2 linked regions of the Canis lupus familiaris genome follow. The protein of the gene in region 2 purifies or fractionates together with the protein of the main gene of each other region. This does not show direct contact. Links are inferred from orthologs where the notes say so. Each region holds a gene or a part of one and is shown on either strand. Other genes may lie near its edges.

Region 1 (10,804 bases), on a different chromosome or scaffold from region 2:
AGTGTGACTCGCTTATTCATTAGGTGTGAGGGGACAGACAGGGAGGTGCAATCAGGGGATGTGGTCAGAAAGGCAGAGAACGTGTTGACTTAATGCCAGCAGGCCAGAGACCAGGGACGAGGCAGCCTCCCTGCTGTGAATGCCGAAGAAGGATGCCAACCCAGACCTACACAAGAACAGACAAGTTTATTTGTTTTCTCGGCTATCTTCATTCAGTAGACACTTGCCACATCACCTTTTCTGGTAAAATACTTCTTAAGGTTTTCTGATCATCTTTTAGTAAAATTTGGACATGTTTCTTTTTTATTTTTTATTTTTTGATGATTTTATTTAATCAGCTTATAATTATCCATGTAATGGGGAACAGAAAGCACAGAAGTAGTTGAAATATGCATAAAATTAAAAGTCATCATTTGAAATATGAGCTTAATCTCCTGTATATCAGGACTGCTAATAAGTAATAAGGTTGATGAGTTTTAGATTTTTATAAAATCTAAAAAAAATCTATAGATTTTTTGCTGCTGATTATCTTCTGTAGATGGCAACTAACCATGGATGTAAAAGTAAAATGTGAATTGTGAAACATAACATCTGAAGTAGAGCAAGTGAAAACAAAATATTCTTCTTACCTGTCTACAATAGGAAGACTATGCTCAGTTTGGGGTGTCTTCTTCCAGATTATTCTCTGTGAGAACACCAGGATTTATGTTCATTGCTTGCTGCTGTAGCTGTCACGTAAATTGCCTTGCTTGGATACACTGTGTATTTTAGGAATTCCTTGCCTTCATGGTGTGATAACATCACATTTCTCTACATCCAGTTTTCATCTGGATCTTTTTTTAATATCTCAGTGATTGAGTATGCGGATTTTCAACCATTTGTCAAGCATGTATGGCAACACTGCAAGCACTGGGCTCCTGATGGAGCAGGAGGAAATACATTAACCTAGAAATCACAAGGAAAAGCAGAACTACAACTGTGAGAAAAGAAGTATGTGGTAGTGTCGAATGTATTATAGAATTTAACAAGAAAGACTCCTCTGAGGAAGTGATCATTGACCTGAGCAATGAAGGAAGAATGTGAATGGCCAGGAGGTGGAGGCAGGGCATAGGCCTAGGAAACCACATGTGCAGGTATCCTGAAAGGATACCAGTGTGACCAGAGTAGTGGCTTAGAGATAGTGGGGGAGGAATTGTAGTGCAGACTAAGGTCAGACAAGGAGGGTCAGACATTGCAGGGTTTTACAGACTGTGTTAAGAAATTTTCTCTATCCCAAGAGCATAGGTAATTGGAGCATTTTTGAAGCAGAGGTAACAACAATCCTATTTGTGTTAAGAAAGGATCATTCTGTTCTTAATATGGAGAATGGCTTATAGGGAATCAAGGAAGTCAGTCAGTGGACTACTTATAGTAGTCCAGGCAAGAGTTGTGGGGACTCTGACGTGGGGGGTCATGGTATGCGGATAAATGGATGGATTTGGGAGACATGGTGATTAATTAGATATTGGGGTGGAGTGAGAAAGAGGGGGAAGGGTTGAGGATGGCTTCTGAGTTTCTGACATGCATAAGAGCATCAGTAGTGGTATCGTTCCCTGAAATAGAGACCAAGGGAAGAGTATTAGGCATTAGGGCAAAATCATGAGTTCTGTTTTTGATTGCGTTAGGTTTGAGGTACCTTGAGACATTCAAGTGGAGACATTTCAAGTAGGCTGCTGAATGTACTAGTAAGAAAACTGGATTAGAGATAGGAATCTGTGAGGCATCTGCATTGAGGTGTTAATTAAAGCTGTGGGTGTGGATGACATCACTTGGGAGAGATGATAGAATGAGAAGAATAGGCCTTGTACCCTGCCTTGAGGAATTCCCAATATTTAAATGGTCTCATCAAGAGGGATATGAGCCAAGAAGGAGGCAAAAGGAGCAACCAAGGAGACAGGCAGGAAAAATGAGGATGGTGGTGAGTCACAGAGGACGAGGGAGGAGCAGTTTTAAAAGAAGGGTGTAATCAGCACCTTCAGATGCTGCCAAGAGCTAACATGTACTAAAGACAGAGAATTGTATTTCCTGGCGGGCAAGTCATTAGTGACTTGCTAAGAACTGTAAAGTACTAGGTGGAGAAACCACGTGGGATTAGGCTGGGAGCGACTGGGAAGGAGATGTGGACTAGAGCACACACAGGTAGATGCTTTTTAACGGTTTAATGGGAGTCTTGACCATATTTAAAACTGATTGAAGGGGAAAAAATCAAGTGAGGGAGTTGGCTATATGAGAAGGAGGTGAGAAAGCAGGTCAGGTCCTAAGAAAGCCAGAAAGTGAACGGAATCCAGGAGGATCAACAAAAACAGACATAGTACAGTGGTTAGCAGATATGGGAATGCTATTGGTGTCCCAACCCCCCAGCCCATAATATAGGTGACAGTGTTGTCTTCTGAGAGGAAAGAAAAGGGCTTTACATGGGGGTCCAGGTGGCCATTCATCTGAGAAATGCCATAAGTTGCTTTCTGTTTCCTTGTTTCTCTCCTCCCTATTTTTTAATAGCTTTATTGAGATAACTCACACATATAATTCATCCATTTAAAGTGTACATTTCAGTGGTTTTTAGTTTATTCACAGATAATGTGCAACCATAACCACAGTCAATTTTAGAACATTTCATCACTTCAAAAAGAAACCTCAGGCCTTTTACCTATCACCTCCCTCCTTTCTTATTCATCTTGCTGTCAGAAGAGAGCACAGAGTATGGTCTGAATTCAGATCTAAAATCCTGTCATGATTTTGGGACACCTGGGTGGCTCAGTGGTTGAGCATCTGCCTTTGGCTCAGGTCATGATCCCGGGATCGAGTCTTGCATCAGGCTCCCTGCAGGGAATGCTTCTCACTCTGCCTGTGTCTCTGCCTCTCTCTATGTTTCTCATGAATAAATAAATAAAATCTTTAAAAATAATAATAATAAAATTGTATCATGATTTCAAAGAAGAGGCTATGTAAGCTGAGGCATATGAAAGGTTGCCAAGAGACTCAAAACTGTGATCTAGTCAGAGAAGCACTGGTATAAAATCAACAGATAATACACACAGGAAACACACTAAATGCCGGGCTCTTCCTTGTCAGAGAAAATCATCTTAAGAATAAAGTTGGTAAAATGAAATTACAGAAGTAACATATGTAATAGTTTATAAGAGAACATTTTCTGTTGATAAATGATTTTATCTACTGGCTCCCAAAAAGTACATTTTGGGGTACTTTAACTTGGTATAAGGGATGAACTGCTGTTAGAAATCTAAGGTGTTGGGCAGCCCCGGTGGCTCAGCGGTTTGGCGCCTCCTTCGGCCCAGGGTGTGATCCTGGAGACCTGGGATCGAGTCCCGCGTCAGGCTCCCTGCATGGAGCCTCCCTCTCCTTCTGTCTGTGTCTCTGCCTCTCTCTCTGTCTGTCATGAATAAATAAATAAAATCTAAGAAAGAAAGAAAGAAAAAAGAGAGAGAGAGAGAGAGAAAGAAAAGAAAGAAGGAAATCTAAGGTGTTGAAAGAATAGGGTGGTAACAGCTTGACGGGAGAAGGTAAAGATTCTGCTGAACACTGATAATGGAAGGTTTTCCATAGGGATTATTGGGATGATTTTAAACATTTAGAAAAGAAAGTCATAATCCTAAGCATATGCTTAGGAAAAAGGACTACCAAATTAACTTTATTTCATTGTCTTATATTCAGGAAATGTGGAAGAAATAGTATATAGCTGACCCTTGAACAACACAGGGGTAAGAGGCACCAAGCCCCCCACCAGGTCAGAATCCACATACAACTCTCGACTGCCTTAGAACTTAATACTAGTAGCCTACCTACTGCTGACCAAAAGCCTTGCTGATAACATAAACAGTTAACACATTTTGTACACTACATATACGGTATACTATGTTCTTACAATAAAGTCAGCTAGAGGAAAGAAAATGTTAAGTAAATCATGAGGAGAAAATATAGTATTGTCCTATGAAAAACACGTATGAGTGGGCTAGCACCTTGTTCAAGGGTCAAATGTTAAATTATCTTATATCCAAGTATTTAACAAAAAGCCTTTTGAATTTGATTTGGAAATAGGTTTATATATAAGTGGCTAAGGGACCGTGTGCAAAGATTATTAGTAGATCGTAATGAAAAGCATGATGATTCAAAGGCATAATGGTAGGTTCCATTTAGAGTTATTTCCTTTTCGATGTCTTGGTTAATGATTGAGGCCGTGGGAGGTATACTATCAGATTTGCAGAAAATGCAGATATGAGAATGATAGCTGGTATGTTGGATGTCCTTCAGAATCTAGAAATACCTCCACAGTGTTGAACAATGGGCTGTTAATGAGGTTAAATGAAATAGTGAAAAGAGTTAAAGCCTCCATTGCAGATCACTCAAAGACCTGGCTTCGAATGAATTCTATGAGTTAATTGCAGAAATTCTTGATGGTACCATCAGGCTACATTAACATTTGTGACATTTATAGGGAAATCGTGATCTAGTGTCTTGTGCATCATTCCATCCTAATGGGATTGGAACATTAGCCCTCCTTTTCTTAAAAGAATAAAGAAGCTGAGAGGAAGTTTTTCTGGAAAAGACAAGAGATGGGCAGGTCACCCTGAAAGAGCTCGGCTGCTCCCTGACTTGGGTGTGTTCCTCACACACACCGGCTTCTCAGTACCCTGCTGAAGAAGCAGTGTGTGTTTGCACACCTCTCTCCTCTCTGGTACTCTGCCCTGCCGAGTCCCAGTGCTGTCTCAACCCCTGGAGACCGCATGCCCTCCCTGTGCTGTGGCCTGGAAGCTCTCCAGGTGGTAAGCCAGGGCACTTGTGAATTAAATTCATTTGTTTCCCTTCTCTCAAGGCTCACCATCCTGTGCTGTCTGAAGTTCAGTGTTTAAGATGCATTGTTTCATGTCACTTCTCCTGTTTTTTTATCTTTTTCATGGAGGAGGGTAAATCTGGCTCTTGTTCCTCTCTCTTAGCCAGACGTGGAGACTCTTCAGTGTGTTTTGTTTTTTTTTTTAATTTATTGCTAATATCTCAACTCTGCATTCAGAGCCACCTTCTGTCATTCCCTTGTTCCCTCTGCACCTTTCCTCAGGCAGACTCTGTGCTTGTCCCCTCCCTCATCTCCAGCTCATGCCATTCCTGTCCGTCCATCTCCTCCTCCCTCGTTCTTGCTCATCAGTGTCTCTCCATTCTCAGGCTCCACTTTGGCCTCTTCTGTGACGTTGCTCTCCCATGGGAGGCAGAGTCGAACCTTCTCTCCCTGGTCAGTTTCTACCATAATAAACTGTTGGCAGCATTTAGGCATATATGTTGTGTATCTGCTGGCCTTCCCTCTTGAACACATATGTCAGTCTCCACATGTGTCATATGTGCCCAGTGCTCAGCTCCCAAGGGCTGGGACGGGGCTTGCCCACCTTTGTGTCTTTTACATAGCTCTGTGGGTATATAATCTAGAGGGAAGGTATTTTACAAAGGTAGGTTTTTTACATATTTTTTTTTTAAATGAATGGTTTTTCTCCTCTCCCTCAAAATTAGGCCACAGAAGAAGTTTCCAAAAATCTGGTTGCCATGAAAGAAATCCTGTATGGCACGAATGAAAAAGAGCCGCAGACGGAAGCAGTGGCACAGCTCGCTCAGGAACTATATAACAGTGGGCTCCTGAGCACACTGGTAGCTGATTTACAGCTCATTGACTTTGAGGTAAGAAATCAAATTTTTTTTTTTTTTTTTCCAAAAATGGTGCCTTCTTCATGGTCCTTTTCCTGGTGTTCTCGCCTCTGAAAGATCCTAAGATTCCTGCCAGGCTCTTGGCTCCAGGGTTATTGACCTGTAAGCATGCCCAGGCTGCCTGCCTAATTAGCAGAGCCGGGCAGGAGCTCAGGGCTGCCTCAGGCTTAGGCCAGGTCGCCTCCTGTTTCACCACACTGTATATGAAGTTTCTTAGGTATTCGTTGTGCCCTTTTGTTTACATTATATTTAATAAATAGCTGCTGTTTTACGTAATTCACTGGCCTTGGGTTCTCAGGGAGTCAGCAACCTAAAGAAGACCATAGAATGTTAGAGGTAGAGAGATCTTAGGAGATACCCAGTTGTGTTTTAGGGTTTTTTGTTTTGTTTTTTTAACCTGCTGAGAACTCATTACAGCAGAGATGATATGTTCTGTTTGCTTGTGCTTAGCTCTGCTTTTAAATGTTTAAATTAGCATAACGGTTAAATAGCAGGAGATTTTTTATGCAGTTTTGAATTTCTCTGGCTTCCCTTGAAAATTTTGACTCTGGCAGCATTGAGTCAGTGTGCCTATATGGCCCCTCAGCTGGAACAGAGCAGCTACCACCCCATGGGCACACTTGGGTGTGCTGCAGAGAGCAGCTTGCTTTTCTGTCTCAGGGCCTGCTTTACCCAACATACTGTCTCTTGCCTGGCCCTGGTGGGCATTTGATATTATTACCCAAGTTTATATAGCTGAATCATGTCATATTAGATATTTAGTGAATTTAGCAGTGAGAATAATGGTCTTTGATACCAGTCTGAAAGGTAGACTGAGAAGTATATATGGTAATGAGGTATATATGGTAATGAAGGGCTCTTAGCATGGTTATGAATGAGCAGGTTCCTCTGAGTCTTTGTCATGGCTTTGTTTTTAAAGCCCCAGTGTTTTTCATCCTGAGTGACCAATTAGATGTCTGTGCAGGTGCTTGAAAAACCAGGGGAGAGAATGGCAGACGTATAGTCAGATTCAGTTTTGGAGAGTGATGGGAGGGTGTGGTTCCTAGGTTACTTGAGAATAATATTGATAATAAAGGACAGTAAAAATTGACTTCTATAGAACAGATAAAAATATTTCCCTTTATATGGATGATTATGTATTTCTAATAGTGTATCAGATTCCACCAACAACAATCTTTATTTCCTCTGCAAAGTTGCCAGTGCACTAGAACCTCCACTTCCTTCAGCTTTGTCCACCCTTCTCATTCCCCGACCTGAACGCTGAATTTAATATTCAGGACTTTAGAGGCTTAAATTTAAAAGAAGTGTGTGTCCTTGAGATGTGTTCTTAGAGATTGCTATTGCTTCTCCTCACCTAGCACAGGCCCCAGGATGATCTCTAGCCCTGGAAAGCTAGCATTTCACTCACTTTCCTACAGGCTTGTCAGCCTCTTAACAGGTAGCCACTCTGAAGAATCTCATGGGGTTCTGTTTTCCATTTGGTAATCTCTTGTGCAGTTTTCTGATTATAAGATTCACTGTATAGCAGTAATGTCCTATTTTGTTTAGTAAAGTACAGTTGTATAATTCTGATGTCTGAACTGCTTCATCATGTGGTACTTGGAGCCTTCATTACTAATCTATATAAAATCTCTCCTAAGTAGACCTAGCTTAATGAGATATGTCTACTTGCCATGAAAGCTCAGCTTCTTAGAGAATCTTTCGTTTTTTTAATACTAGTAGAATGCAGCTTCTCTTCCTTTCATCACTATAAAAGGAAATTATATGTATTGTTTACAATGTGAGCATTTTATTTGAAACTGCTTATTCCATATGGGTGGGAATTGGATCCCTGAACATTGTAAGCATATAGCAAAGTTTAATTTTTCCTGAATCCACATGATTCTAAGGGTTAGAAATGGCTGAAATTTATATGTAGTAAGATTTCATTTTGTGAACATTCTGCTCATGTTAAAAATAGTGTACTATTAAAACTTCGAATTTGGATTTGTAAATAAAGAAAATTTAATATCTGAACATTTTAAAGTCAAATATTGAGTCATAATTAAAAATATGCAGTGCCTTAATTTGAGTTTATTTGGGAGGGTGGATGGGCTTTTTGGTGGTTAGTCGGGTAAACATTTTAATGATTGTATTCCTAATAGGGCAAAAAAGACGTGGCTCAAATTTTCAACAATATTCTCAGAAGACAAATTGGTACAAGAACTCCTACTGTCGAATATATCTGCACTCAACAGAATATTTTGTTCATGTTATTGAAAGGGTATGTACAATGTAACAAATGTATATTCTCAGTTGAAAAATAAAAAGGAAAGAAGTCTTGGGCAAAAACAGGATGGTAAATGTGGGAACGTGTTTTCTCTATGGTTCAGTCAGTCCATTTTTCCATACATCTTAAACACATTTCCCTCCTTAAAATTCAGCCAGTGAGCTAAATTGAATTCGAAAATGCCCATGGGAATTTCAAGGTTGGTGAATTGTGAGCCTTTAATTAAATTCTCAGATCCTATATAACAGAAGGAAAAAAGTCTTCTGTGGTTTTATTCCTATTCTCTGGATTTTAAAAGTTTATTTATATGAACTATCAGTTAAATGATGTGTTTAAAGACCTCTTGTTCAGGGAGACATGCACACTGTGAGGCAGTAGGAGCTGCCTAGGAAGTGGATCTTGAGTACTATGTAGCGTTACTTTATTCCATCAACAAAGAACACATTTATGAAGTCTACCCTTTGCTTTTTACCTGTGTGTATCCACTCATTAACCTGCTTAGTTGGTAATTCACAGTGCATCTTCCAGGAACTAAGGAGGCATTTATTGGTAGTCTGTTGGTATCAAGTCTGTTGGTATCAAAAAACAAAAACCAAAAAAGCCTAAAAACTCAAAACTTTAAAACGAAAGAAAAATCCTTTCCTCCCTCAATAGTGATCCTACCCTTGGGGCACCTGGGTGGCTCAGTGGTTGAGTGTCTGCCTTTGGCTCAGGTTGTGATTCTGGGATTGAATCCTGCATGGGGCTCTCCACAGGGAGCCTGCTTCTCCCTCTGCCTGTGTCTCTGCCTCTCACTCTCTCTGTCTCTCATGAATAGATAAATAAAATCTGAAAAAAAAAAAAAGCCTTCCTGATTGGCAAGGTCACCCCCTGTCGTTTCACACAAGAGTTGTTTGCCAGCTCTGGGTCTGGTGTGCATCTGTTTGTCCCAGCATTGGTGCTGTTCTATTAAATTGGCGGACAGGCCTTTTAGTAGCATGACTATTGGCGTGAATCAGCTTGCTCTCCTACCCCTTTGCTTTATAGCTTGCCTCTCTCTGATTCATATCTCTGTGGTTTAACACTTCCCCCAAGTTCAAACTTGTTTAGACAAAGCATGAGTCAGTGCATGTGTTTGATGCCAGCATTCTATTTCCTTCTTTCTATTTCTAAATATCTATGTTGCTTCTTCAGACTTTGCCATACAGAACTTTTGGCATCTAATTTTTTGTTGTTACCAATCCACAGTTGCGTGTGTAAACGTGTAATGAGTAGTTTGAAATTTTGTGTTCTTAGAGCACCTTCCAGATGCCTTTGTGTATTTTTAAACTATTTCCTTTTCCATAAAAAGCAGTGGTTATTAAAATCCATAAATTAGTTTTGCTTATGTTTTGGCTTGAGAGTAGCCAGAGGAATGATAAACATTGTTAAACATCACGTAAAGTCAGAATTTTAAGGTATGATTTAAAGAAAAATGAAAGCTCTCACATGAGTTGGCCAGAGCAGGAAAGTCAGCGAGAAAGGAGAGGAGGAGAAGCCTGGAGAATGCAGCTGGTGTTGTTCTCCACCAGCGCCCATCTCCCCATCCTTTCTAGCCCTTAGAGTGGGAAATATACAGAAAACTGGAGGGAAGAAAATAACCAGCCTTTTGTACTCATCCTTCAGCTCTGACAGTATCTCTTCCTTCATGCCCCTGGCCTCCTCCTTTCCCTCACACACATAATATTGCTTCAGTATGCATCCCTAGTACATAACACTTTGAGGACCCTTTTTTTTTTTTTTTTGTCATAGTCATGATATCATTTACAAACCCAATGTTATCTTATACTCACTGTTCAGATGTCCCTTTCACATAAAATGTCATTTTTCAGTTAATTTGTTTAAATCCAGTTCCAAGCAAGCAAGGCCCATAAACTGCATTTGGTTAATAAGACTACTATGCCTTTTGTTTTGAATACCATTTACTTGTTGAAGCAACTGGGTCATTTGTTCTATAGAAAAAATCACATATTTTGGATTTTACATCCCTGTGGTTTCATTTAACATGTTCCTTTGTCCTCTGTTCTTTTAAATTGGTAAATCATTATGAACTCAAGTTTTGGGTTTTTTTTAAAAATATATTTGACATGTTTCAGTCCATTGTAGCCATTATGTCCACATTTTTATATCCAAATTGTGTCATCTTGGCCAATTGGGAAGCTCCTTCAAGTGGTTCCTATGTCCTTGTGGCAAGACCCCATTAGTCTTTGATAGCTTCCTTGCTTTCTGGCACAAGGTGTCCCTTACTATATTGTACAGGTTCCTGCTCCAGACCTGGAAGCAGCCATCTCTTCAAGGAGCCTTGTGAGCTGCCTTTTAAGATTTTTGTACCTTTAGTCCATCCAATGACTCTCATGCGGTGTGATGATCCACGTAGGCTGTAAGCACTTCAGTGTCAGCTGTTAGGGATGTTGTGCTGCAGGTGACCATGTGCGTCCAAACATATTCTTGTAGCTAGTGTTAGATGCATCAGAGGCAGTCGTTTTTCCTCTGGTGACTTAAATGTTCGTGTGCTTTCTACTCTAATGCTAACAGGTTGTACAGCATAACTGTTTGCCCTGTACTTGGTGGTTTATGGCTTAATCGTTTAAGACGAGCTTGACAAACCACCATCAAAACCTGCCCAACTTGTTGTACCAAACTGTCTTAGTCTTGTCTTTCTAGTCTCCTGCTTATTGAATTAAGATCAGTGAAGGTGAATTGTACAATCAGCCATTTTGTGAACAGACATTGTAATCACCTAAGCGCCTGTCAGCGCTCTAGTTACTGTGC
Region 2 (11,484 bases):
ATAATTGAATAAATAAGATACTCTTTTTCCAAAATTTAGAAGCCCTGAGAATCCACACAGTCCTCTAAATCTCTGGATCTTCTTCTATCAAATGCCCTTTTACAACTCACGCAATTTATAAACTGATATAAAATGGTGAATCTTAAGTAATCCTTTAGAGCAGGGGTCCACAAACCAGTCTGACCCACCACCTGTTTCAGTAAAGAAGGTTTTACTTGAACACATTCATTTTTTTCATTTAAATATTGTCTATGACTGTTTTCACAGCACAAGAACAGAAGAGTAATTTGTTACAAAGACCATATACCACACAAATACTATCTGGTCCTTTACAGAAAATATTGGTTTACCCCAGCACCAGAAAATCAGGTAGGTATTTCACATCAATGTGCTTTATTGATAGATAAAGCTGTCCTTTTTTTTTTTTTTTAAGATTTTATTTTTATGTAATGTCTACCCCCAACACAGGGCTTGAACTTACACCCCAACATCGAGAGTCATATGCTCTACTGACTGAGCCAGCCAGGAGCTCCTAAAGCTCCCCTTTTAAGTAGAGAATCTTTACTTTAAAAATAAAGTAAGTGCATTCTGTATATTTCATATAACAAATTATACAATAAATCCAACAAATCCATTCTGTATTTCCTCACTTCATAGTTCTCTCAGACTTGGTAAATGATGGAGTGGATTGGCAGATATGAATTTGAGCCCTGGCAATCTTGGGCCAAACTCAAAACAAGATTAAACCACCTGCCCTACCAATCACTCATAATTTTGAAGACTGAAAGAGATATATAAAAGTATTTATAAACTGCAAATCATCATACAAATGTACCCATCACTTTTTAAAAGATCACTACTTTAATCAAGTCAGATATTGTATTATGTTCTATAGAAGAAGATATGATGAAAGACCTGAAACTACTTAATTTAAGTAATATTTTCGGTAGGTTGAATATTTTTTACCATATGATTCTTGGTTCTCAATCTAGATGCCATGGATCTAGTATAAACAAAAAACAAGCTGTAATCTATATATCATACTATACATTGATCCAACTGTATTCTATCTTGTTGTTAAGAGGCTGATTTTTAGTATTATTCTGTTTGCCTTTGGTCTAGTGGAAATTTGTAAAAGGGATTTTTGAAAGATTTAAGGATAAGATAGCTAACTAGATGGGAGAGGCATATCTAAGTACAGTAAAGGTATGGAAAAAAGTGGGATGGGACAAAGGAAATGAACGATGAATATATCAGAAAAGTATAGGAGAAGCTCTTTTTTAAAGCAACAAAAACTCAATGAGAATTTAACTCATTTCTTAAGACCAAAAGCCATTCAGGTCAAAATAACATCTCAGCATAACAGTATCTCATCAGAATTTGCCTTCAATTATGGCTCTGCACTAACATCTAACTACTCTGATAGTACCAAATTAGATCTATGCTTTTTTTTTTTTTTTTTTTTTAAGATTTCTTTATGGGATGCCTGGATGGCTCAGTGGCTGAGCACCTGCCTTCGGCCAAGGGAGTGATCCTGGAATCCCAGGATCCAGTCCCACACTGGGCTCCCCGCATGGAGTCTACTTCACTCTCTGCCTATGTCTCTTATGAATAAATAAATAGAATCTTTAAAAAAAGAGATTTATGTTATTTCATCTTATTTTTTAAAGATTTATTTATTTGAAAGAGAGGGAGAGGAGAAAGAATGTATGAGCAGTGCTGAAGAGCAAAGGGAGAAGAAGTAGACTCCCTGCTGAGCAGGAAGCCCTACTTGGGGCTCAATTCCAAGACCCTGAAAGCAAGACCTAATGGCAAACACTTAACTGAGCCATCCAAGCATCTCTTATTTATTGTCTTGGCCTGGGTGTGGGGGTGGAGCTTGCAGGGAGAGAGAATCCCAAGCCTATGTCTTACAGAGCAGGGAGCCTGACCTAAGGATCTCACAACCCTGAGATCATGACCAGAGCAGAAACCAAGAGTCAGAGGCATAAGGGACTGCGGGACCCACATGTCCTGAAATTAAATCTGTGTTAACACAAACTTACCAAGAGAGACATTGAATCTTTTTAGTTCACAGAAGATGTCAAAAACCCATCTACTCCAAAAGATTTTTGCTTTATCTTCAAGATGAAGAAATATTCTGTTATAAAAAACAAAAGCAAAATTTAGATTTACATAAAAGCTCCTGGAAGAACTAGTTGCTATAAACCCATATGATATTTAGGCAGCTATTCTTTGATACAACAACTGGAGACATTTCTGAAAAGTGTCTTTAAAGAGTGTTTCTTTTTATGTAACACTATTTGATCTGCCATCACAACAGAAAGGCAGAGTGAAGTTGAAGGGAGATTCTGAGTATTTCCAAAGACCAATATACCTGCATCTCTCCTTCCCTATTTTTTCTGTACTACTTTTTTTAAAGAAACTTAAGGGCAGCCCCAGTGGTGCAGCAGTTTAGTGCTGCCTGCAGCCCGGGGTGTGATCCTGGAGACCCAGGATCGAGTCCCACATCGGGCTTCCTGCATGGAGCCTGCTTCTCCCTCTGCCTGTGTCTCTGCCTCTCTCTTCGCTCTCTCTGAATGAATAAATAAATAAATCTTAAAAAAAAAAAAAAGAAACTTAAGCAAATGTGAAAGCAATATAGAAAATCAATGTTGGACCCATTAGAATTTCCAATGATTCTAGTTATAAGTAAACGTTGAAGGTTCCAAAGCTTCCTGATTGGATTAATTGCCAATTAAGTCATTTGGGGTCCATGATTAGCAAATTTGGGAAACAATCTGCATTAGCAACACACTAGGAATTAACATTTACTCGTTGTCACATGTTTTTAAAAGAGAAATTTCAGTCTTAACATAAAATAATATTTCTGAAGACTGAATATTTTTAACACAATTCTTAGTTCTCTGTTCTTCCTAGAATTTGACATATATGAAAGATATGAAATTATACAAGTAATTCCTGTCCACTATCACTAGTAGAGTATTAACCTCAATAGTTTATGAAGACTGCAACAGATTCAGAAGTTTAAAATAGCAACTTCTTTAGAGTTAAAGAACTACAAGGGCACCACCAAAACTTTCCAGATTTTTCCTAACAGAAAGGGTGGCAATGTTCTGAACTTCCTAGTGCTGGGTGTTTCCTTATAACTAAGGAATATCTCTTTCTTGTTAATTGTGGTTTATTATTTCATTTTAATGAAATCCCCAAGTTTAATCAAGGTCCCTGCAAATATCTAACTAAGCGAAAAGAAAAGGAAGATTTTGTAAACAATACATATTATACAGCAGTATCCAATTTTACTGTTAAGGAAAGATATGAATTTATTCAGAATATTCACTACAAACCAAAAGTAGAGAAGAGGGGGAGGAAAAACCTCAAAGGGTATGATTATTTAGTCACTTGCTATTCATTATCATCAACTTAAGGCAGTGGTATTTGCTGTAATACAAAAGGGGGAAAGCAATACCTGCCCTGCCCACCTTCTGGGGTGATTGAATCAGAGATACTTCATCTGAAAGGGCTCATAACTACCAAATACTGCGCCAATCAATATAAGAGCTCGAGAGGATACTCTGAGAGGTACACTCACATATTACTGGTGGCAGCCGAAAAATGTAAGGCTCACTTGGAAAGCAAGTTGGCAATGTTTCAATAACATGAAAATACTCATACCTTTTGACCCAGTAAAATTCTCACTTCTAGCAATCAACTCTAAGGAAATGTCCAAATAAATGAAGAAACCATACACAGGTAGAAAGTCATGACACCATTAATCCGAAACAGCCAAGTATTCATTCTCTAAGTGCTTAATGAATGGTGACCATGGTCAGGCACTGGGGACACTCACTGGTGATCAGGGCAGACAAGGCCCTGACCACTTGCAGTTCACATTCTCACAGGAAGATTAGGGATGTCGTGATTAATTCAATTTTCTGGTTAACAGGATTTTGTTTCTTGCTTCTTCCACTTCCTATCAGTAAGTTCTTAAACAAGAACAAAAAAACTTTAATTCTGTTACATTATCTATTATTTCAGAAATACTCCGAAGAAACTGACACGATTTTATGAATTGTGAGTACAAAGGAGTAGTTCCACTGAGGTGGTTTAATCCCACAGATTTCTGCTTTAGATATGCCAGATGCTTAAGAGATCATTTTACCAGACATTTTGAGGTCAAGGCAGCAGCTGCACCTGGTAAAGGGTACAGTTTGGGGGCGGGGGGGGGGGGGGGCGAGTAGATTTTCTCCTGCACGCTCTTTCACTAGATGTGAATATAAATCCTTTTTAAAGAAATCATACTTGAGGCCTGTATTTCTAAATATATTACATCAGTGTGGTCCTTTGCATTTGTATCTAACAAGCTAATTAGGGTATAAAGCTTTATAAATAATTTAAATTTGCTCCATTATAGAATAGTTCATCCAAAGACTTTAATATCAAAGGTTAACAATTTCTGTGAAAATCACAGGGCGCATTTATTTACAGAACTCGGGTTTTGAGTTAATTTAGGCATCCAGCAGAGGCTATTGTTATAGGAAACGCAAAAACAACAACAACCCCGATCTCTGCTAAGCCTTAAAATTACTGTAATTTTCAAAGGGACCTTGAGAACCCATAAAATCTCAAAAATTGCAGCGACGCACAACTCGCTATAAGATTCCCCAAACTTAGCAACATGACTCATGCTTTCAAAACAAAATCTTTCCTGAGCGCCTACTGTGCGCCACCCGGACCTGCGCTCGGCAGCCGCCGGGTCACAAAATCCTGACCAAGTTTTCAGGAAAAGGGTGTTTGGCACCACAAAGCCACGAGGGGAAAAACACGACGCTCACTTTAAATACCGGGAACAAAATGAAGCTTGAGCATTTAATTTTGTGAAGAGGCTCCTTCCTCGTCCTGCTTCGAGGAGGCGAACTCGCAGGAGGCGGCACAGAGCCGCGGCCACAGGGTGTCTCCCGCCGGGACGCTCCGCCAGGCTCGAGCTAGCGGCCCGAGGTGCCGGGTGAGGAGGCGGTGAGGAGGGGGCGGGGAGGGGGGGCGGCACCGGGGCCGCGGGCGCCCCGCGCACCTGGCAAGCGCCGCCCACCGCGAGCGCAGGTGCCGCCGCCGCCGCCCGACGGCCCGGGGCTCAGGGGCCGCTCGCCCCGCCAGCCGGACTCCAGACGCCGCCCCGCCCGCCCGCCCGCGGCCAGGGCGTGGGTTCGAGGCGGGGCGGCAAGTTCCAGCCTCGGGCTTCGCGAGGTGCGCGCGGACCGAGCCGCGCTCCCTCAGGCTCCCGACCCGGCCCGACGCCACCCCCCTCCGCCCGGCCTCCCCTCTTTACCCTGGCGGCGACCACGACCGGCGACTCTCCTCAGGAGCCCAACGGAGCGGGGCCCCACGGCCCCGGGAGCCCGGCCCACCGAGGGGGCCCTGCGAGCGCGCGGGCCGCGGGGCGCAGCAAGGCAGCGCGACCCGGCCTCGGGCTGCGGGCCTGGAGCTCTGCCCCCGCCGCGGGCAGCCCGCCCGGACTGGACTCGCCCCAGGGTCGCGGCCCCGCCTCCCGCCGCGGGGCCCGGCGGCCTCGGGGGCGGGGCCTCGTCGCTGAGGGGGCGGGACAGGCGCGCGGCGACTCCGGAGGCGGAGGGGGCGGGCGCTCGGGAAGACCACACTTCCCGGCAGGTAGTGCGCCGACGCCGCGGAGGCTGCCGGGAGAGCGGGTCTCCTCCGCTCTCCTCCGATGTGTGGGGCTGCGGAGGCGCCGGCCCCGCTGCCAAAGCAGAGTCGCCGAGTGATGATGCTGTGAAGTCGCCCTCGGTCCCTGCCACGCCCGGGCGGTTGTGGCAGCGGCAGCCGCTTCGGCTGCAGCTCTCGGGCTGCCGCCGCTTTAGACCCTATTCCCTGAGGGAGCGCGGGCGGAGGACGGAGGACGGAGGACGTCGGGCCATTCCCGTGAGTAACCTTCCCGCGCGTGACTCCAACTTGCCCTTGCCAACTTCCCCGGAAAGCAGGGGAGCCTCCCCGCCCGGAGCTCCTCCCGGTGCCCGGAGGTCACGCGCGGACATCGGAGCCGGGGGCTGGGGATCGCAGGCCTGGGTCTTCGCCGGGCTCCGCCCCGCGAAGGCTTGGTTGGGAAGTGGTTGGTTCCCCAAGTGTGGGTGCGAAGTGATGGGCGCTGGGCTCTGGTCTCCGGGTTCATCCCAGCTGCGCCTGTGAGGATCTCATCCTCTGCCGGAGAGCATCCCCTGGAACCTCCTCCCTGAGTGATGCGCAGCTTTAGTGCCTAAGCCCCGGTCACCATCTGTGATGTGAGCAAACAGAGAGGATATTGCAGAGAGCTCTTTCTATGCTCAGTTGGGTTTTTCTTGCGATTGATTTTGAGCCAGACACCACATATCCTTCAAAAGAAACGGTTCACTTTAGTGTCAGGCGTGAATAATAGATGTTGGCAGATGTCCTCTTTAGTACCAGCGTAAAGATGATCTCCCAAACATTTAAAAGAGTTCTGGGTCTAGTAATAATGGTGAACTCAGTTCATTGCCCACCAACCTTATATTAAAACCTGCATTTTCTGAGCCAGAAAAAAAAAAAAAAAAACAGAGCAGTAACTTTTCACTGGAAATTCATCAAGCTAGAATAGACCATAGGAATAAAATGACATGGACTCTTCTAGTTTTTTAAAAAATTATCTTTCAGCAAAAATTTGTCATGACCTTCACCTCTTTGCTGTAGAATTGAAAGTCTGAGTTACAGTGATCTCCAAATAGCATGTTAATAGCGTTGACGTGACACTTAAGGAATTGTGAAGGGCGTTTGGTGGTGGGAAAGGGCAGGGATGAAGACACTTTATCATCTCAGCAGTTTTTACAGCTTTCTATTTTTAAAGTTAATGTTCAACAATGTCTCAGACATTCAGCAATCACATGTACGAAAGAGAGTGGTTTGTTATTTTACAGATTTTTATTCATACGTTGAAGAAATCATAAGAAAGTACAGTATATGAGTACAAATATTAAAAGTACAAGTATTTGAGTACAGTTGACCCGTGGACAACACCGGGCTGACGAGCACCAACCCCCTGTAGAGTCAAAAATCCATATATAATTTTTGACTCCCTAGAAACTTAACCACTAATAGCCTTTTTGATCAGAAACCTTATTCATAGCATAAACAGTTGTTTAACATATTTTGTGTTATATGTATTACAATTCTGTATTCTTAGAGTAAACTAGAAAAAAGAAAATACATTTACTGTACTGTATCAGAAAACTCAGTGTCTAAGTGCACCCTTGCAGTTCAAACCCAAGTTCAAGTCAGCTGTACTTTCAGTCAGCTGGGCACACCAGTCATGAGCTCTGTGTACATTTGCTCACTTAATCGCTGCAATAACAGAGTGGGTATAATTCATTCTGACAGGTGTCCTTATAAAAAGAACTTTAGAAACAAAAAGAGACACCAAGGATGTGTGCACAGAGAAAAAAAATTATGTGAGAACACACTGAGAGGTTGGATATCTGCAAGCCTCAGAGAGAAACCAAGCTTGCCAATACTTTGATATTCAACTTCTAGCTTCCAGAACTGTGAGGAAATAAACTTGTCTCATTTAACCTACTCTGGTATTTTCTTTTTCTTTTCTTTTTTTTTTTTTTTTTTTTTTTTTACTCTGGTATTTTCTATGGCAGTCCTAACAAACTAATTCAGGGATGTTCTAGCAAAAGGAATGACATACAAAAAGCCGTTAAGGGTGCCAGGTGATTAAGTTTCATGGTAAGAAGTGTTGAGAGTTGAAGTTGGAGATTAGGCTGGGGCCATATTAGGACAATTTTGTATGAAATGCCAAGGAGCTGAACTTTATCATAAAAGGGATAGAATGGAGATGGTTTGTAGCAGAGGAAAAACATTGGATATGCATTTTAGAAAGACTACTCTGACCTTTGTGGAGTATGGATTAAAGGAGATAAGACTGGAAGCATGATCAAAATTAGGTGGAAGCTGAACTAAATATTGTCTCAGAGTATTGAAATGACAAACTAAAACATCTATTGTTAACATAAGGGAGATTTTAAAGGGCACAGCTAACCCTTAGGGCAAACATGGGAGCATTTAGGAAGAATTTGTATGCACCTCTTTGTACCTAGAAACTGGCTTTACTTTTGACATTTTGCTTTCCATAGATAAAGCTTTACTCAACTATCCCAGAATATTCAGTATTTTCCCACTAATAGGCACTTTTGTGGTGCTTACAGTGTTCTAAATCAAGTCTTCTGACAACCTCATGGACTATGTACTATTACTATCTCCATTTTATACTTAAAGATATCAAAGCACAGGGCAGCCCAGGTGGCTCAGTGGTTTAACCCCGTCTTCAGCCCAGGGCCTGATCCTGGAGACCCAGGATCGAGTCCCATGTCGGGCTCCCTGTGTGGAGCCTGCTTCTCCCTCTGCCTGTGTCTCTGCCTCTCTCTCTCTCTCTCTCATGAATAAATAAATAAAAATTAAAAAAGAAAAGATATCAAAACACAGAGGTTAAGTAACTTGCCCATGGTCAATAGCAAATGGCAGTGTTAGATTCAAATTCAAGTAGTCTGTCTTCAGACTATGCTCCTAGCCATTATACTGTATGTTACCATGTATTATTTATCAAGATCTTCAACTACCTAAGAAAGGAAGAGGGAATAATACAAAAATAAATTATGTATGTTGTAGGGAGTATATAGTTTTATTAGAGGAGATAAGGAATAATTATATGATTAAAAATGTTTAGAAGAAAGTGGAGAGTATTGGAAAGTAATCTTACTTCAAGTTGAGGCTTTTGGGAAATCTGGCATTGGGAAAAAAATGGCATTTGAACTAAGATACGAAGAATGGCTAGACTTTGAATATGTTAGAAGGAGGGAGAGATATTAAAGGTAGAAGAAATCACAAGAACAAAGTTATATGATTGGGAATTTCCTAGTATGTCTAGGTAGCTAGTAAATGCAATCCTTTGTTTTGACTGGGCTGTATTATGTGGTTGGAGAATCCAGTTTGGACTTCATGGCGTCACCAAATGTCTGGGACTTATTAGGGAGTGAGGAGCAATGAAAATTGTGAGGTCTGAAGTCAAATGATTGAAGTATATGCCAGATGTAATTATCTTTTAGGAGAGGTTAAAGCTTATCTAGTCCCAACTCATAAGTTAACGAGTTAACACTGTCTTACAGATCCCTCTTACTGTTTCAACTCATTTATGCCTTTATTACAATAATCCAGGCACAATGCAGTAAAAATTTTAAATTATTACTGTCTCTAATCTTTCCATTCTTGAAATTTATCTTGTATTCTGACTCTAGATTTATTTCTGAAATAACATTTTTTAAAAAGATTTATTTTTAAGTAATCTCTACGCCTAATATGGGGCTCAAACTACAACCCTGAGATCACAAGTTGCATGCTCTACCAAGGGTTAGCCAAGCCCCTCAGATGTCACTTTCCATTTAGAAACTTGTTGCCTTGTGCAATCACGTTCAGACTTCTGAATCTGAACTTGTGAAATTCAAAGCTCCAAGTACTTTCCCCTAATCATTCCCACTTAAATTGTTCTGTACACTGCTGCCAAACTGGGTCTGCCTGCTGTTTGCTCTGGGGCTTTTTTTTTTCTTTGTCCTTTACCTACTGGATACTCCCCTTCTCACTATCTGGATCTTTCCATCCTTGAGGAACCCACTTAACATCATACTCCAATGTGAAACCAGATCACTAAAAAAAAAAAAAAAAAAAGAAAAGAAACCAGATCACTTTAGCTAGAAAGCAGTTTTCCCTTCACCTGACTGTATTTAGAACAATTCTGTTCTAATACTCATTAAATACTTATTATCTAGTGGTGTTATCTTCTTCTCTTAGATATCTTAGACCATTAGATCTTAGATTTAATCTAGAGCATGGAACTCAGAAGTTTCCCTAGTAGATCTTAGATTTCTTAAATTTTTAACCTCCCTTAGGGCAGAGGCTACTTTAAAAAAAAAAAAAATCTCTTTTCAGTCTTTCAGCTTAATTCAGGAGACATTTATTGAAAACTATCCAATAGGTGGCTAATTGACCAGTTGTTAGCATAGGTCATTTTATTGAGATTTCTTATGTAACTGGCTTCTTATTATGTAATGTTCCTAGCTTTACTAGTGGCTCACATAACCTTGGGGATATCCTGTTTAACCACCCTGTATTATGATTTATTTGTGCTAGAAAATGAGCATACAAAGTCTACTCGAGGTATAGAGGTGTAACTAATTCATGTTGTAAAGATCATTGGGGTCTTTGAAGTTTATCCATATATCTCTGTCAGTATTTGCCAAATTTCAAGTTCTTTCTCTTTAGAAAGCTTTCTGATAATAAAGAAGGAATAGCTCAAATAAAACAGAGTGTAATTTAAAAGTATTATGCTATTTTGTGTAACAATAAAGTTGACAGATGTGTTCATGGTGAAAGAATTCACCTACCAGTTCAGTTAATAGTTCATTTAACAACAAATATGTATTAAGTTGCTTAAGTTCCTGTCATATTCTCATTCTGATTGGAAAGGAAAAAGAAAAGGAGAAGGTAGCACTTCCCTCTTCCTTCCTGGAAGTAAGTTGTAATACGTGTTGTGAAGAAAACAACTTAGATGCTGAGTTAGAAAATAAAGATGGCAGGAGAGGCTACTTTAGATCAATTGGACTGGTAACTTATCTCTGAGGATAATTTTTCAGCTGAGACTGGAAGGGTGAGAAGTAGTTACCATATGAAGAACAAGAGGGAAGAATATTCCAAGTACAATAAACAGTGACAAAGATCCAGTGATAGGAGAGAATGTGATGAGGAAGTAAAGAAAAAGCCATAACACAAAGCTGTCTTTGTGGCTGAGTCTGAGTAAAGAGAGTGGTACAAGATGAAGGAAGAGAAGTAGTCAGGGGCAAGACTAGACCAGACGTGTGGATTTTATTCTAGGTATTTTTTTTTAAGGAGTTTAGTTTTTAAAACATTTTTCTTGTCTTACAGAGAAGAGAGAGAGCAACAAATTGAGCATGGAGGCCTGTTAAGAGGTTAGTTCGTAGACTAAGAGGTAATGATGGGTAGAAAATTAGGATGATAGAAGAGAGGATGAAGAGAAATGGGTAAATTTGAAATATTAGACCATACAGGATTTGGTAATGGATTGGATGTGGAAGGTGAGAGAAAGGAGGCATCTAATGTTCAGTGGATCAATTAAAGGGATTACAATCAGCCTATAAGAAATTTGAGTGGATATAAGGAAGAAGTCTGGTCTGAAGAGTCAGATTGGGAGTTATTAACAGTTAAGAGGTAGTTTAATCTATGGTGGTGGTTGGTTTGTACAAAGATAAGTGAAAAACAGCAGCAATAAAGAACACAGTCACAGTTGGAATTTTAGGAAACACCAACATTTAAGGATTAAGAGAAGGGAGCTGGGTGATCCAATGAAGGGATTTGAGAAAGTACATTCATTGTAAGATGTAAGCTCCAGGAGAC

Evidence for each region.
Region 1: the proteins of STRADB (region 2) and CAB39 purify together in Homo sapiens (affinity purification with mass spectrometry; 3 studies listed by BioGRID and IntAct, counting the BioPlex papers as one, with this or other methods). This does not show direct contact. The link is inferred for Canis lupus familiaris from reciprocal best matches to the Homo sapiens genes STRADB and CAB39.

The regions. Positions count from the first base shown.
Region 1 is NC_049246.1:42,955,262-42,966,065, forward strand, and holds part of CAB39 (calcium-binding protein 39), read left to right. Parts: intron 1-5,553; coding exon 5,554-5,718; intron 5,719-7,889; coding exon 7,890-8,008; intron 8,009-10,804. UniProt on the Homo sapiens protein: Component of a complex that binds and activates STK11/LKB1. In the complex, required to stabilize the interaction between CAB39/MO25 (CAB39/MO25alpha or CAB39L/MO25beta) and STK11/LKB1.
Region 2 is NC_049258.1:10,373,477-10,384,960, reverse strand, and holds the start of STRADB (STE20-related kinase adapter protein beta), read right to left. Parts: upstream 5,515-11,484; 5' UTR 5,327-5,514; intron 4,896-5,326; exon of another isoform or gene 4,836-4,895; intron 2,141-4,835; 5' UTR 2,058-2,140; coding exon 2,046-2,057; intron 1-2,045. UniProt on the Homo sapiens protein: Pseudokinase which, in complex with CAB39/MO25 (CAB39/MO25alpha or CAB39L/MO25beta), binds to and activates STK11/LKB1.